Linked DNA regions of Neodiprion lecontei. The protein of the gene in region 2 interacts with the protein of the main gene of each other region in a pairwise test. Links are inferred from orthologs where the notes say so. Each region holds a gene or a part of one and is shown on either strand. Other genes may lie near its edges.

What was found. The genes of interacting proteins can lie anywhere in the genome.
Region 1: the proteins of SUMO-conjugating enzyme UBC9-B (region 2) and BTB/POZ domain-containing protein kctd15-like interact in a two-hybrid assay, tested with the Drosophila melanogaster proteins (2 studies listed by BioGRID). The link is inferred for Neodiprion lecontei from reciprocal best matches to the Drosophila melanogaster genes lwr and twz.
Region 3: the proteins of SUMO-conjugating enzyme UBC9-B (region 2) and E3 SUMO-protein ligase PIAS2 interact in a two-hybrid assay, tested with the Drosophila melanogaster proteins (2 studies listed by BioGRID). The link is inferred for Neodiprion lecontei from reciprocal best matches to the Drosophila melanogaster genes lwr and Su(var)2-10.

What each region holds. Positions count from the first base shown.
Region 1 is NC_060261.1:2,904,417-2,909,394, forward strand, and holds the start of BTB/POZ domain-containing protein kctd15-like, read right to left. Parts: upstream 3,099-4,978; 5' UTR 2,540-3,098; intron 1-2,539. UniProt on the Drosophila melanogaster protein: Functions with the transcription factor TfAP-2 to regulate octopamine neuronal signaling pathways that control behaviors such as male aggression, male mating, and the initiation of feeding.
Region 2 is NC_060263.1:2,182,931-2,187,126, forward strand, and holds SUMO-conjugating enzyme UBC9-B, read right to left. Parts: upstream 2,359-4,196; 5' UTR 2,227-2,358; intron 2,130-2,226; 5' UTR 2,125-2,129; coding exon 2,059-2,124; intron 1,617-2,058; coding exon 1,533-1,616; intron 1,458-1,532; coding exon 1,195-1,457; intron 1,109-1,194; coding exon 1,042-1,108; 3' UTR 525-1,041; downstream 1-524. Other genes in the region: spermatogenesis-associated protein 20, read left to right, coding at 3,061-3,194, 3,293-3,665, 3,764-3,907, 4,003-4,092, 4,160-4,196.
Region 3 is NC_060260.1:32,572,059-32,578,761, reverse strand, and holds E3 SUMO-protein ligase PIAS2, read right to left. Parts: upstream 5,110-6,703; 5' UTR 5,095-5,109; coding exon 4,816-5,094; exon of another isoform or gene 4,786-4,815; intron 4,415-4,785; coding exon 4,248-4,414; intron 4,012-4,247; coding exon 3,913-4,011; intron 3,804-3,912; coding exon 3,638-3,803; intron 3,565-3,637; coding exon 3,271-3,564; intron 3,084-3,270; coding exon 2,982-3,083; intron 2,873-2,981; coding exon 2,632-2,872; intron 2,422-2,631; coding exon 2,008-2,421; intron 1,643-2,007; coding exon 1,422-1,642; 3' UTR 599-1,421; downstream 1-598.

The DNA of each region.
Region 1 (4,978 bases), on a different chromosome or scaffold from region 2:
CACTCCCCCGACACGCGCCAATGCGTGTCTTGCTCCATTTCGTCTGTGGCCTGCCTATTTGACCAGTTATACTCTCTCGCCTACTTGCCAACTAGACGGAAACTTCGGATACGCTACGCATATACTTACACATGGGTATGAGATACAGGCTGCGTGACCGAGGACCGCATGTTACACCTTTCGTATACGTACCTACTTTGCACCCGGTTCTAGAAGTGTTTGAAAACTCGTTGGAGATTACCTTGCGTTCGGAATATCATTCCGGCTTTCATTCTGAGAGCGGCAAAGATTCGGCAAAGTGTTGTAAGGAAGATAGCAATATTCGAAATTTTTTTCAATCAGTAATCACGGAATTGCGTGCATACAATACCAAAGTTTTCGTTATTCGGAATTAAGTCCAATTTTTGATGCAGTTACGTAATTATATATCATGACATGCAAGTTGACGTGTCTCGATACGAGACTTTTGAAAATTTTAGAAACGCCAGATACTTCCGGTTATACACAGGCAGTCGCTTACAGAGATTCGTGAGTGATGAAGCTTGTTACAAGTAGACCGGTACATGATTGCAACGATTCTTGCAGCAATCGAACTTTGTTAACATTATATTATACCTAGATGCGAATTTCTCAATTTTCATATCTTTCATAACGTTTCAGCAATAGTCTTCAAACTTCGAACCAACACTCATCTGAAATATTTTTCTCAATTCTGAATTAATCATTTTCCGTAATCTATCACATTCGAAATATCAAGTGTCAGATTAGTGATTTCAATTTTCAAAACCATCCAATTTCATTATTCCTCAACGGTTCGACGAAACTTCGTCCATTATACGATCCAGCGATGAAACACCGGTGTTCGAAAACAATATTAAATCATTGAAGATCTGAATAATTCAAGAATCTCTAGCATTCCAAAAACACAAAAATCCATCTGCACATCGGAAAAAAATCTGAAACTCTAAACTTTCCTGGGAGTATACAAGACACTAATCTATAACTCGTACTGTATATTCGTACCTCACTTGAAGTAATTAACAAGATCGACCTCTATAAATACTTGTGTTACTACAATATCATCGAAGCAATTATACACGCCGATACGTTATATTGTCTGACGACGATATCAAAATTTTACTAACGTAGGAAAAATCCTTAGTGAAATGAAAAAAAAATTAAGGGTCAACCGTTTACCAAGTCGGCGTGGAATATACCGTACACACACACGTACATACGTGTATAAAAATATGGATATTTTCTCCGTCCGTTCATCCCCCTCCCCCTCCACCCCTCACCCTGATCCCGAATAAGTTCGGGGCCTCTTATACTGACGCGAACGCCTGCGGCTCGCCCTCCGGGCTTCTGCTCTAATTACGGGAACGGAACGAGAAGCGCGTCTGCACCCGGGGGCCCCCGATGCCCCGGGCGTCCCGGTTCCTCTCCTTTCACCCTCCTCCCCGTGTCCTCAACCTCGGAGGGCCTCAGGGCTCCCCGGGTTATCCTCAACCATCGCTAGTCTTTCCAAACGCCACTGATGTGAGCTCGAGGTGCAGTGTAAATGTATATATATATATATATATATATATATAGGTGTAGTATAAAGTATACGCGATTGAAACACGCCTTATATTATATATTTACCGCAGGGAGAAGGAGCAAAGGATCGAGATGAGGGAAAAGATGAGGAATATTGTGACGAGGGGTGCCCCTCTGCGTCAGATGCTCGGAAAACGTTCTCAACCCACACCTGTATAGGTATACTAACAATTCGAGTTCTCTGTCAGGTTTCAACTGCACCGAAATTTCACTTTTCAGTTTAATCGGATTTAAACCGATGCGAAAATCGAATAAATTTATCCTTTTTTTTAAAAATTTTTACCTTAATTAGTGATAAAGTTTAATGATTTGTTTGGATTAAAAACTGTTGAGTATGTAATCGACTAGCTATGGCATCAATTCCCGATTTCGCGCAGACACGGCTGTCTGTATCTACAGTATACCTATATGTTATACTTATATGTATGTGCATACATCACGTTTAATGGCAATTTCGCTCGTGCTCGGTAGCTTCTGGGTTTTAATTGCCCCGCTTTGCGTGTTGATTGGTCTCAGGTCGCAGCACCAATTTGTATACCTATCATACGATTCATTCTCGTAAATCTTTTCATACCAGATCGCCATTCCCCGCACTTTATTCTCCTCGTACGTTATAATACGAGCGAACAAGTCAAACCACTGACAAGAATTAGATGTGTAAGAAAAAAAAAAAAAATACCCCGTATCTGAACAGTTGCTTACAAGTTCAACAAGTTACAATCGTTCATTGATCAAATATGTGCGCGGTTAAAATTAATTTGAAAACGGTGGGCTGATAGTCGCTTTGACATTTGAAAACGGTGGGCTGACAGTCGCTTTGACAGACTTTTGGATTAAGAATACAAAGGGCTTTAATACGGAAATGGCATGCTGAAGGGACTCCGCATTGCATGATGCACCCGCATGAGGATGTTGGAGAAAATATCTGCGTCATGCTCACCGTTTCGGACACGTGGCCTCCAGGTTGACGGCTCCTCCCCGATTGTCCACGACGAATTGTTTTCCCTTGATTTTCTTCAACTTGACCAAATTCCGTGGACGATCAAAGATTCGAAATTCCAATGCGATATAATCAGGCACTTTCGAAGCACTTTGTATTCTTCGATTTTCAAATAAATCCCCCTTTGCTTTGCCAACTGGTCACCACAAGATAGTCGGGTGTATTATAAGAGGTAAAAGATCGCACCAACTCACACGCGAAAAAAAGAAATGAAGATTGAATAACGAAAATGAAAAAGAAACTAAGAAATGAAAATAAAAACATTAAGGAGAAGAAGAAGCGAAAAGACACGCAGTCAGTCGTCAAATTCTCGATATGCGCGGAAAATGCGACTACGAGGCGACGGTCCTCCTGTCATCGGCACGTAGGCATCAGCTACGCCCACCTTCCTCTTAATTATTATATTATATATCTATAATACTCGTCACACTTGTCACGTGGTTGGTTTTCCCGCGTTAATATCGGACTGGTGCAGCACATCGACGCGCACGACGCGACAGCCGGGCGGGAACTGCGCTGCTCGCGACGTCGAGACGGACCGCAGGCCACCGATCATCCTACGCTGGCGTCGCGACGCCGCCGCCGCCGCCGCCGCCGACGACGACGACGCCGATTTCGATATCCGGCGATATTTTCACTCGGTGCCTTCATCGGGGTCTCAAGGTACTCCAAAAATCACGGATTGATCCAGTTTTACCTCTTCACGAATCCAGGAAAAAAGTGGAAGTGGGTGTAACTAGGGACATTGGGTTGGTGACCATGAAGCCGAAATCAAGATTTGGTACCGCGGAAGAATTAATCCGAAACTGCGTTATGGCGCAGGTTCGAGTCGCCAGAGATCGGCCAAAACCGGGTACAGGTATTCGTAGTCTCGATCATTTCTGATCGCTACTTATAGACAGGCGATGCGTACGATAGTTTTTAGGATTGGTGATCTGGGATAAAGCACCGTTGCTGTAGGAACGAATTTTTCACGAGGCGGTATAACTTGTGCGACAAAATTCACTTACTATTCTCGTTTCGATTATGGTACTGGTTTAGAGTCGAAGATGACACTCTGACATTCGTTCACGCGCTAAACGATGTACTGTACAGGATTCAATTAGAACTTCGCCGAAACGCTAATTATTGCTCCGAGAGAAAACATGTCAGTGTTGTGTAGCTATTTTGGTGCTTGGACGGAATGGGTGGATTTTGATGAAAAGAGGTTGATCCGAGATGCGTTAAATGGTCTTGGGAGAATTCCTTTTGTAAGTTTATTGATTTGACACGGTGGTCAACGAAAAATGTATATAACACAGAGCTGCTTCCCGGGTGTTGTTGCACGCAGCGTTTGATATTGAGGGAACGCGGGCTGGCTCGCCTTCGCAAGGTTCACTACTACACGGAGATATTCCTCTACAGGATATTGTAGTTATATTGGAATAGCCCAAGGGCGAAGCAGCCACGGCCAACAACGTTATTCCTCGATGCCCAAGGCGTTTCCGAACCAAATCGAACAGCACGAAACGGTCCGCGAACGCCAACGCCGACGCGAACGAGTATAAGAGCTGTAGGGCATGGAGCCCCGGCCGACTGCCCGGCCAATATCCCATCACCATTATCCGCCGTCGGTGTTAATATGCAAATTTCAATGACAGAGGAAAAAAGCAAACAAAGAAACGGAACAGAAACGTTAAAAGATCGAACGAGGCTGCGCCGAATGCGGTTTCATCGCCAAATCCTAACATTCCACCACGTGCAATGTCAATGCACCAAAACGAAACACTCCTGACAGGGTGCTGGAAGTTGCCGAAGATATCCGAGATTCCATGGTGTCCAGTAAAAAATTCGTAACAAATTCGAGGACATTTTCGGGACCACTGGACATAGTGGATTCCAACGATCGGAATTTCCGTGGAAGGACCCTGCGGTAGACGCATCTGCACAGATGCACGAGGATGAGATCAGCCGTGGTTCGTCACCCACGTGGGCGAGTTATCCGCCCGACGAGGATAAGGTCGTCGTGCATGGTATCGCTCGTTGCCCCAGGGTCAGGGGCTCGAGTCCCTGTCGACGAATGGCGGGGGTATGACTGTACGAGTGCGCGAGAGAGAAAATAACCTCGTGTTTTTGTATCATACCTCGGCGCTCCAGAGTCAACCGGACGAGCGACGGACCGATGGACAGACGAACGGACGGACAAATCGGGCCGCCTCGGGGCATCCGTCGGGATGTAACGAGGAGTCCGCGTCGCCCGAGGGTCCACATATTTTAGGGCGCGCCCTTCCGCTCGCTGGCCCTATACCTCTACGTGTCTTTGAAACGGGTCGTGTTTCGCCCGAGGCGTAAGGCCGCGGTCGTCTTCCTCCGCGCCTCTCCGCGCCTTCCTCCACGGCA
Region 2 (4,196 bases):
AGCTACAGGTTGCTTCTCGGGTCCGGCGCACACATGCGCCGGCGTTGACGTGGATTAAGAAGATTAAAGCGATGGACACAGTGTCATCTGTGAATAGCAGATTTCATTGATCGATATATCAATCGATGACTTTAACCTACTTGCGCATGAATAGCCATTGAATATTTTAAATTACTAGACTTTGCTCGAGGCAGCGTACTGAGCAATTTATTACATGCTCAATGAACATCACTCCGAAATCATAGTGACATTATTTCCAAGTAAATGTCATAACTTCATATTGTGTATAATGACGAGAATGCAGAAACTATTTTGAAAGGCTTGAAATTTGGTTTGAAGTAATAAGGCTTCGATTTAAAATTCATATTAATTTTTTGTTTATTGATTTTAATCGACAGAACAATGTAAAACGATATGTGGAATATTTTAATGATAAAAAAAAAACAAGAAAAAATAAAAAAATAAATGTAATTTCCTCTCTTCACTATATGACGTCCTTTTCTGAGACTACGCTATCAAAGCTCCTATTTTTACACAAATTTTATTGGATACATCGAGTATAAATACTTAGAGACAAACATTAATCGACTCAGCTTCCTAGAATAATTTTTATAGTATAATCATGGTTAGATTTACATTTGCAAAACCTGATCTTCGGTTTGCGCATAGAGTCATTATAAGTCTAACGATGTGTAACACATTTTTTCCTCTTTTCTTACATGTACATTATATAATGAAGGATAATTGTCCTTGGCATGGATTTCGAATAGGATAATTATTAATTTATCAGGCAGAAGATAATCTCACTGATATCGAGCACTCGTTGATAATAAACAATTTCATTGATAATTATACATAGAAGAAAATAAAATGATGATTCTGTTTTTACTTACCTATGTATATGTATGCAACATTTATGGTCATGTAAATTGTAAGTGGGGGAAAAATTATTTGTATATAGTTTGCATTATGTTATATTATATTTGTTGCAGGCTTAGAAAATAAAGTTTTGCTTTGTGGTAGGTGGAACGTTCGTGTTTTTTATTCTTGCGGTGCCATTGCTCTTGCCTGCGCCTTCACTCGTTTTTCATATTCCAAACGATTCTGGCTGCAATAATTGAGTTTCAATAAGTGATGTTGTCGCTGTAGACTTGGAAAAAAAAAAACTCAATCTATGCCTCGTTGAGTACTCACCAGTAAATAGTGTAAGCTTCTGCTTGGGCGGGATCTTTAACGTTTGGTTCATTAAGTAAATCTTGGATTCCTAGCAAGATTTGCTTGATTGTTATGGCTGGTCGCCAGTCCTTTTCTTCATCTAGGAGAGATAGGCATACAGTACCAGAAGGGTAAACATTAGGATGAAAAAGTGGGGGCTCGAATTTGCATTTTGGCGGACTGGAAGGATAGTCGTCTTTGAATATCATTCGCAACTTGTACAGCCCGCCTTCCCATGGAGTCTACAAAGAAAATTACCATCAGATTTTAATAAATTCAAGGCAGATTTTTAGGAGCAACGACTTGCAATATCTTACAGTTTTCTTTCCAGGTATAGCACATTCCCAGCTCATCAAATTAAGTGTTCCATCTGGATTTTTTGTAGGCCGAGCTACAAAGCCCTGTAAGTAAACAAATGAAATTCAAAATCTGGCCGCCTCTGGGTGTTTGTAACAAATTTTGAGCATGTCACATACAGCCTCGGATCTCAGCACAAGTAATTCAATAAATGAAGATACCCAAAAGGAATAAGAAATAGGTTAGGTTTGGTTATCTGGTTTCAGAAGAAAAATTTTCCCATTCAAAAACAAAAAAAATTTAGACCACTTGAGGTAAAAACGATGAGATTGACCTGTGCACTTTTTACATGTGTGTGCGTGCGTATGTGGACGACAATCTTTCATGACATGATTTATGTATTCGGAGGGTTTATTATGCCCTTACGGCCAGGTAATAATGGGAGGGATGGTTGACTAGGTAAAATGGTTAACTTGGGACCATCCAAATGACCCGGTTTCATCCAAAAGTACAATGCAGTAATAGAAGTGACAAGATAATACTTACAAATGGATGGTCTTTCCTCCATGCTTTTCTCTCCTCAGCGAGTCTAGCGATCGCGATGCCTGACATTAAATCTGCAAAATTAGTCCAAGCTTAGCAAGGCTCTCCGTGAGCTTAATCGCCGCGGCACGTGGTTATTTGGTTGTAATGTTAGCACTTTGGTACACACACCGTAGGTTCGAATGCCTTGGCACTTCCTAAGCCCGAAATCCGAATTTCGCAACGACTCTTTACGCTTTTTAGCGGCAATGACAAATACGATGAACCATGGAGAACGCAGTGTGTTCCGATTTTTAATGTGCAGTGTGCACTTTTCTACTGTGCTCAAAGCGTTTTCAATTGGCTGCACTGAGTGCGTTTTCCCTAGATTTACGCCTTTGCCATTAGTTGAAAATTAGGGAAATTGCATGCGCACCCAGTGCAGCCAATTAAAAACGGATATGCATTTATTTCCCACATTTTCAAAATGAAGGAGCTGAAAGGCTTGAGCTTATCTGATTAATCCGTATTGAAGAACCAGCTGATCGACAGCTTTGCCCAAGCCTTTCTTTTCGAAAAGTTGGGAAACAAAAAATTGCACCATTATCAAATTATCCCTAGGAATCCTGAGTGATAACGTCGATCCTTCGACCGGATGTAAGCTACTTTGTATGAGGAGTATTTAACACCACGTTGCGGTTCTCAGCTGGTTACATAGCCACGGGGAAAAGGTAGGTCAAACGTCAAAAACTATCATCAAAACTGTCAGACCAAATGCAAAATAGTGTATGTGATAAATATTTATACGCACTAACATGCGAACGAATTGGTATAGGCTTTGGTATAGGTATACGTGCCGTATATAATCATGTGTAAATAAAATTGCGCATACACGCAACACGTATACCTATGAACGTTATTATCTTTTTCTCACTTTGCGATAAGGTTAATTTGAAACTCGTTATATAATTATTCAAGTGAAAATTACTCAATAATTATTATTTATAATATTATATTTTAACACATATGTATGTTATGATTCCGCGAAGATGTTCAATATGGACATCAATTCGTCGCTTTTCTTCTGAACATCAATTCAAAAAATTCTCCGCCAAGGACATTAAACTGCTTCAGGTAGTCAACAACTATCATAGCAAAAGGTTCGTATATCCATGGAGAGAAAATTCGTAAACATGATAAAGCCAACAATTGGTTTTAAATAGTCTGATAATGATATTTGTTTTTCATTCATTTACAGATATATTCATAGTGAACGGTTATTCATTCCTTACAGTGTAAGAATGACCTCGACGACGGTGAAAGGTGAACCTTCTGAAAGTAAAACCCAAAATAAATTGGCATTTGAGAAGTCTCCTTACCTTTTGCAACATGCAACAAATCCTGTTCATTGGTTTCCTTGGGGTGACGAGGCAATTGAAAAGGCTCGGCGTGAAGACAAGCTTATATTTCTGTCAGTTGGATATTCCACCTGTCATTGGTGCCATGTCATGGAGCGGGAATCCTTTGAAAATCCTGAAATCGCGCGTGTTATGAATCAGTTTTTCGTCAATGTGAAAGTTGATCGCGAGGAGAGACCTGACATTGACAAAATATATATGACTTTTATTCAAGTAAATATACACATGTTCATTTAAGATGTCATTCTATAAGTTATGTTAACGAAAATATCTAAGAGAAATAACTCATTTCCTGCATTAAATTGTTTCAGGCTATTTCTGGACATGGTGGATGGCCAATGAGCGTATTTTTGACCCCCGAATTGACCCCTGTTACAGGAGGAACCTATTTTCCCCCTGTCGACAAGTATGGTCAACCTGGTTTTAAAACTGTATTGACCACCGTTGCACACAAAGTACATATTCAACGTGATATTTATCTGCCAAGTATTCCATTTTTTCACCAATTTATTCCTATTATATCTCAAGTGTTGATATTTGTTGTTTACAGTGGATTGAGAGCAGGAGTGATGTATTAAATTCTGGCAACAGAATCCTTGAAGTATTGAAGCGATCCGTTGGTGTGGAAAGTCTACATAAAGTATGTTTGCTCTACGGTAGAGCAGCTTGGAAATTTTTGCTGAGTCAAGTTTATTTTCTATAAACAGGAAGCAGCTGAGCCATCAGTTGATTGTGGATTAAATT
Region 3 (6,703 bases), on a different chromosome or scaffold from region 2:
TTGTATTCTGCTGACTGCCCGTTTATCAGCAGCCTACAACCCATTATACTATACATTCTACTTACTTCCTTTTCTCGGACACGCATCGCGGTACCTGAACATCCAATTTGAACGCATCATTGCTCTAAATGAACATTGGTTTAAGCTTTGAAAGAAATTTTTTTTTATCACTCGATTATCGTACGCAGATTACGGGAAACAAAACGTTTTCTTCCATCAGTTACAAGCTGAACATAAATAATATTGCTGATACAAATCAAAGTATCGATTAATTTTCTCAATATATTATGCCAAGTAAAGGAAGACGAGCAAATAAAGCGAACATTTTCAATTCCATGCATGAAATCATTGCACAGCTTTGATTTTGTGTTAGTGACAACGACGCAATCGCGTCTTTTCATGCATTCGGCAGCTTATCACGTAATCAGCAACACGCGAAATGTTAGGGTTTAAGTATAGAGTGCAATACTCTTTCGCAATATTCAGTTTTGCTAGCAACAAGGAAAATTACGTACAGTCACATGGAAGTGAGGCAAGGTATCAAATTTGGTGTTAGATATTCGCATGCACATTTAAAAATATGCAGAAGACACGTAACCGAGTAGGAAGTTTTTTTTTATTTTATGTCATTTCTTATACAAAAATACGAAATAATCAAGTACATAATATGGTAACGTTACACGACTGTACTCAGTGCCTATTTCATTTTATCGCAAGTTACGTACAAGCTATTTCTTAGCATTAAACATATTTTTGATAGCTAGTTTAGAATAAAAGTAAACGAAAGAAAAAGAATATCAATAACTGTACGTTGTATACGTGTCCCGCATCTTCCATTATGATATTTAAACCGTAAAATTTCAATGGAAAGAATACAATTCAAAGCCAAGCACCAAACTTGGTGGGGAAACTAAAATTGTAAAAAGAATAAAATATCATGAAAATGATTCAATTATCTGCAGAATTTGGAATTGTGCTCAACAAAGCGACAATTATTTTACACATATTATGTTCTCGCTACATGTTATGGATGCTCTCTCCACAATATTTTAAAACATGTATAGATGTCCTTAAATCTGGTAAGCTGTTTCGTTTTAACGAAAAAAAAAAGGTTGATGAGTTTTTATACAGTTATATGTCTACCGTGTGTACCTTTAAATACTATCCAGCTGATTAGGAGTTGTTGACGATATTCAAATCCTAAATAATCAGTAAATAAATACATGAGAAACGAATCCGTGTTACACGTCATGACACCCAATTTCTACCGCCATACAGCGCCGTTCACACAGTGCTTAGACTGACAATGAGTGCATTATCTTTGTACTGTTTTTTATTCATTATGTTCGATACTAAACCTGGATTCTATTCCGGGTTCTCACAGCCTCAAACAGTTAGTCATCAATATACAGGAACACTTCTTACTCCAAATCAATTATCATTAATTCTGGAGACTCTCTAGTACTACTTATTGCACTATGAGCACCGGACTGGGTTTTTTGTGGCGACAACGTCCCAGTATTAGGTTTTTTATTCGAACTTTGTGATGGGTTTGAATCATCATCGCTGTCTGATATTAGATCGATGACAACAGCACGTTTCTTCTCATTTGGTGACAGTGGTGATGGGTTGGTGGACTCATCTGAAAATAAAACGTGTTGTACGAACATCAGAAGATTAAGGTACACCTTTACAAGTAAATTCGATTCCAATCGCCTCTCATTTAAACAGGTCAGCAATAAGGTTAACTCCGGTAGCTTGTAGCCAAACGTAGTAGTGTATGGAGCAGATATGATGTGTATTTTCTAATAGGCGTAGGGTAGACGCTAGTGCTGGCAACCTGATTTTTGTCCCGTTAAAATAAGGGGGCTCAGAATCGACCCTACCTGGGCGTAACTTTGCTCAAAATTAATCAGCATTACTTTCAATAATAACAGTTTTTTTTCAATTTTCAAAGTGAAATTCCTAAAACTTCTACGAAAATAATGGAGGGGTTTACCAACTTACCAAGATCTAGCGTTTCCACTTTCTGTAATGATTTAACCTCAGCATTAACTTGATTTTTATCTTTGTCTTTGTCTTTATCTTTTTTCATAACCAAATTTTCCCAGGAGCCATCTTGTAATAACTGTATCTCATTACCATCAGGCAGTAACTTATTTGAATTCAATACTTCTTGGAAATAACCATCAATAACCAAGTTGTCATAAAGTGCAGGTTTGTCACAAACAGGACAATTCCATGTGGGCTTTCGTTCGTTCATTTGCAGAAATAAAGAAGCGTCAAAACATTGTAGATGCAAACAAGTCGAAGCTCTGCAAGGAGTACTCATCCTCATTTTTCCCAGTGGACAAGCCAGTGAAACTCTCAATGAAGTTGTCGCTATTTCACTATCTGCATCTTCATTCAGCTTTTCTTTTACTGAGAGCAAAAGAAAAAAAGAACAGAATCATGATTCAGCCAAAAAAGCAGCCTGAGTCTCAGGAAATTCAGCTGATAAAATTTGAAGGCGTTATCATTGATTAAATTTCAACACTTTAAAACAAAATGCTGAATCACAGTAATGAGTGTTAAATAGATTAAAGGTATCGAAACTATCGGAGTAGAAGTACTTGATTAAATTCAACTTACTTAGTCCGCGAGTGTAGTCGGAATGTCTGACACCTCTGCTTTTCAATCTAGCCAACAATTCTGAGCTTGTCAACTTTCTAACAAGATAAACAGCAATAGCATATCGTCTACCATAATCTGCAGACCATGAGACATGTATTTGATTTCCTACTGTTGGTGATAATTTCACTAATGGACTTATATTCACTGGTCTAGGTGGTCGCTTAGGTTCGACACCAGGCTTGTTAGTTGGTATGGGATTCTGAAGTTATAATAAAAAATGTTTTGGATGGTATAATGGTGATATATCAACTATAAAGATAAATAAGAATCGGGTGAATTTAAAAAACTTGAATATATATATATAATACCGGTAATGGGCATAGTTTTCCATTGACTTTAACTATGATACTAGGTGGAAAGTAGTCCTCCTGTTCGCAAGAAGTTTCTTGCAAGCAAAATCGCATCTGAACCTGTATAATGAGTACAACAAACATTTAGATTGTAAAACCTCAGGAAGATTTTTGTTACACACAAAAAAATAATACTTCAAACATGTTTCTAAATATATACAAAAGATAAACAATAGCAATAACCGTGACGTTCGAAAAAATGCTATTGCCTTCTAGCTATTGACCGTAAAATATTAGAGCACACCACCTGTACAGTATAGTCCATTTTACTCCCAGCACGGCAGTCTCGTGAGCTAGCAATGTCTGTAGACTGTTGTGGCGTTAAGTGAAATGTGAAAGTGCCTTCTTGAACTCTCATAGATCCTTGTGGCATAAGACTCGAAGGCTTCAACAGCTCTCCAAGCAGGTCAAAGAATGGTAGCTTTTTAAGCCTGACATCAGGGTGAACTGGATACTGGTTTGGTTGTTGTAATTGCAGGGGAGGCGGTAGTACTTTTGTTGGATAGGGATAAGGATTATAAACAGCACTAGACGAGCGTTGCTGAAATTAACAGATAGTTTAGCACTTCACAAAATAAGTACTTCAATTATCTTCAAATGAAAACCAAATCTACCTGCGGTGTAACACTGGTGTATCCAGTTGGTTGGTAAACAGATGATGTTCTCGGTGCCACTTGGGATTGAGGCATCGATGCCTGATGCGCCGGGGGCAAATCCTTCCCACTTGAAATAGATGATTGGGCCTGCTGTTGTTGACTCATTGCCTGAGCATGGCCTTGCCTAAAACAATTGGATTAAGATTCAGGAACAAACAAATAAACATGTTCCTACTCCTTACAGAGTCAATGGATATCTTAGAAGTGACATAGTTAATGTAACTCTGACTTACCTTGTATAATAGTTACGGGAATGCATGTTTTGATCGATTTGAGGCTCACCGTTGTCGCCACCTTGACCATACAGCTGATGTGCGGCAAGTTGATCTTGCCTGTGACACAGATTTTTATTGTACTGACAATATGAGTGAAAGAAAGAACTATGTGTATTTATTAATAAATCAGCAAAGTATCACCGTTTCAAACTGGTTCCATTCATTTTATTAGAACATGGCTGTTTAATTATGAACTGTGACAGCTGTTACACGTTTGATGTAATCCTTAAGTATTATTGTTCTGACAGATATCTAGCCAAAGGGAATGAAAATTGGTATAAATATTGGCTTACTGTATGGTTCTATAAAGGTCGCGAATTTTTAGCTGCACAGGATGGGATCGAAGGCGTAATAGTTCCAAAGCTCGTGTTTGAAGTTCGTTTTTTCGACCTGATTTGTTTCGCCCAGCAAAACCCAAAAGCATCTGAAGTTCAGATACTCGAAAACTTAATACCATACTCTGAAATAGACAATTGACATTTTTATAGCCATAATAGCCCAAGATAATTATAGACAAACTGAGACTTCACAGAATGAGAAAATGTCTTTAATGATAACAACATTAGGCAATAACGACAAATTCTTCCTGCTAGAAAATCGTACCGTTTCTGTCTAGCTATATTCTCAAATGTTATTACACTCTATAGTACTAGTCGGAAAAATATATAATCAAATATGACAATTTTTCCCAACCTGCCATATACGAAGTGCACAAAAGTAAACTCTTGTGCCCAAAGTAGATAGATGGGGAGGCAATTCCAAAAAATTTTGTAGAGTAAAATATGTTGATTATTTGAATAGCGTGATGCATAAGCTAGAGATAGAGGTTACCCATTGTAGTTATCAGTTGCTCCTACTTGCCGTCTCGTATCCGCATTCCTGTGTTATGCTTGAGATACACGAGAAGTTTCCGAATTGAATGAAGATACGTTTACGAAAATATGGAAGTTGGAAATTGGACGAATGTGAAGAAAAGCGAAAAGCCGCGTGTGAAAATAAATGTCGCTTAGTATGATCAAACGCAGCCTTGCTTGCGTTGGCAAGACATTGGAAGAGTTTGGATATGTGAATGTTCGATAATTGGTGAAAAATAAGACACGGAAAAATCAATGACTCAAGTTTCTGGAAGGCATTTAACATGTGGCTCGTTTAAGTCAAGATAATAAGATCTATTTTATTCTCGTCCTACCTTCAGTTCTTCCGTATCCGCCATCTTCCTCGACGATTTTTTTTGCGAAGCCGTCTTGTCTGCTGTGCTTCCCACCACTTGAAGAAAATTCCCGTTCGTTTCCCGCGTTGTACGCCGAAATTTTTATTTTCGCTGTAATATGCTGAGCACTTTTATGTCCAGCGTCACAGAAGACTGATCACTCCTTATCTTAATTGTTATTGTATTTTGGAAAAGCTTTTAGTGGCCTTTGACGATCACAATACGTCTGGGTTCATGGAATTATTCAAGTTTCCTTCAAGTTAAGACTTGGAAGTGAAATTTAAACAATTATTTGAAATTGTTCGGAATAGACTGCGTACTGGCTGCGTTTACTCCGAAAATTTATCTTTTTCCAAGGCTATGCTCCAAAATTAGTTGACAGTACTGTCAGCAATCTTTTATCTTTGTTGTATTTCAAGTTTGACCACCAGTTCTGTTTCTAGTTAATGAATTATCAACGGTCGCAGCTCATTTCGGAACACACCCTTCTATATGGGTAGCCATAGACCGCTAGCCAATGTCCACGTGCGCCATCTGTGTAATTTTCATGCAACAGGGCTATGAGAACGACTGTAAAACATTATAGAAAAGATTTTTCTCTGATATAAAGATGTATATTATATTATATATGCACACAAAAAAATCAATTTGATAACTGTAGAATATCTGTCAACGGTAGAGGATTATTCTTATTGTAGGGCAATAATTCACGCGCATTCTGAACGTTGCTATAACTAGTTAGAACGGAACAATCATGTAAGAGTCAAGAACATTAAAATCTTACCTACGACATGCCTACGACTAAACCGGAAGTTTTACAAACTTGAAGATTCCTGGTATTTCGGAACATTCAATTTCGTTCCTTCAATTTTTGACTAAAGATATTCGAAACTGCTAGCCTTATGGACTGCTGAAGGGCGAGGGGGAACGTTACAATATTCTGCTACGCCGACTTGATCTTGCATTAGGATCCCGCGGATTGGGATGAGACGAGTCAGTTGTTAAGTGCAGGGTAGTGGAATTACACCCAAACCTGCCCAGTAGAGCTGGCAAATTACTATCAAAAATAACGCAGGGCTAGCTGGCAGTCTCCAACAGTGTCCATCGTTTCACAAATTGTTACCGAGAAGTTGTTATAATGTTTACAAATATTGTTTTTGCATTGGCAGATTAATTGGAATTGTCTATGGCATAGCAATTTTCGAATTGCGGTTTGCATTGCAGACTGTAGCAAACAAGTGTGCTTTGATTTCCACAGATACACCAAAGGTTAATGAGAAATTTGAGAGAAAATCAAAAAATTCAATAAATATCTACCTCCCGCTGATTTTAACTAATTTCTCGAGAAGTTTCTTCCCTTAAATGCCGATACACGCATGCAAACACGGTCGTGCAATTGACGATGCACTTGAACTCGGAAGTGGATGCGTTTACACCAATGATTCAGACGTGTTCTCAAATCAAATTTAATCAGACTTCAATGCTCGAACAGCTCCAAACAACCTGGACTGGGTAGACGGATCTTATTGTTAAATGTGT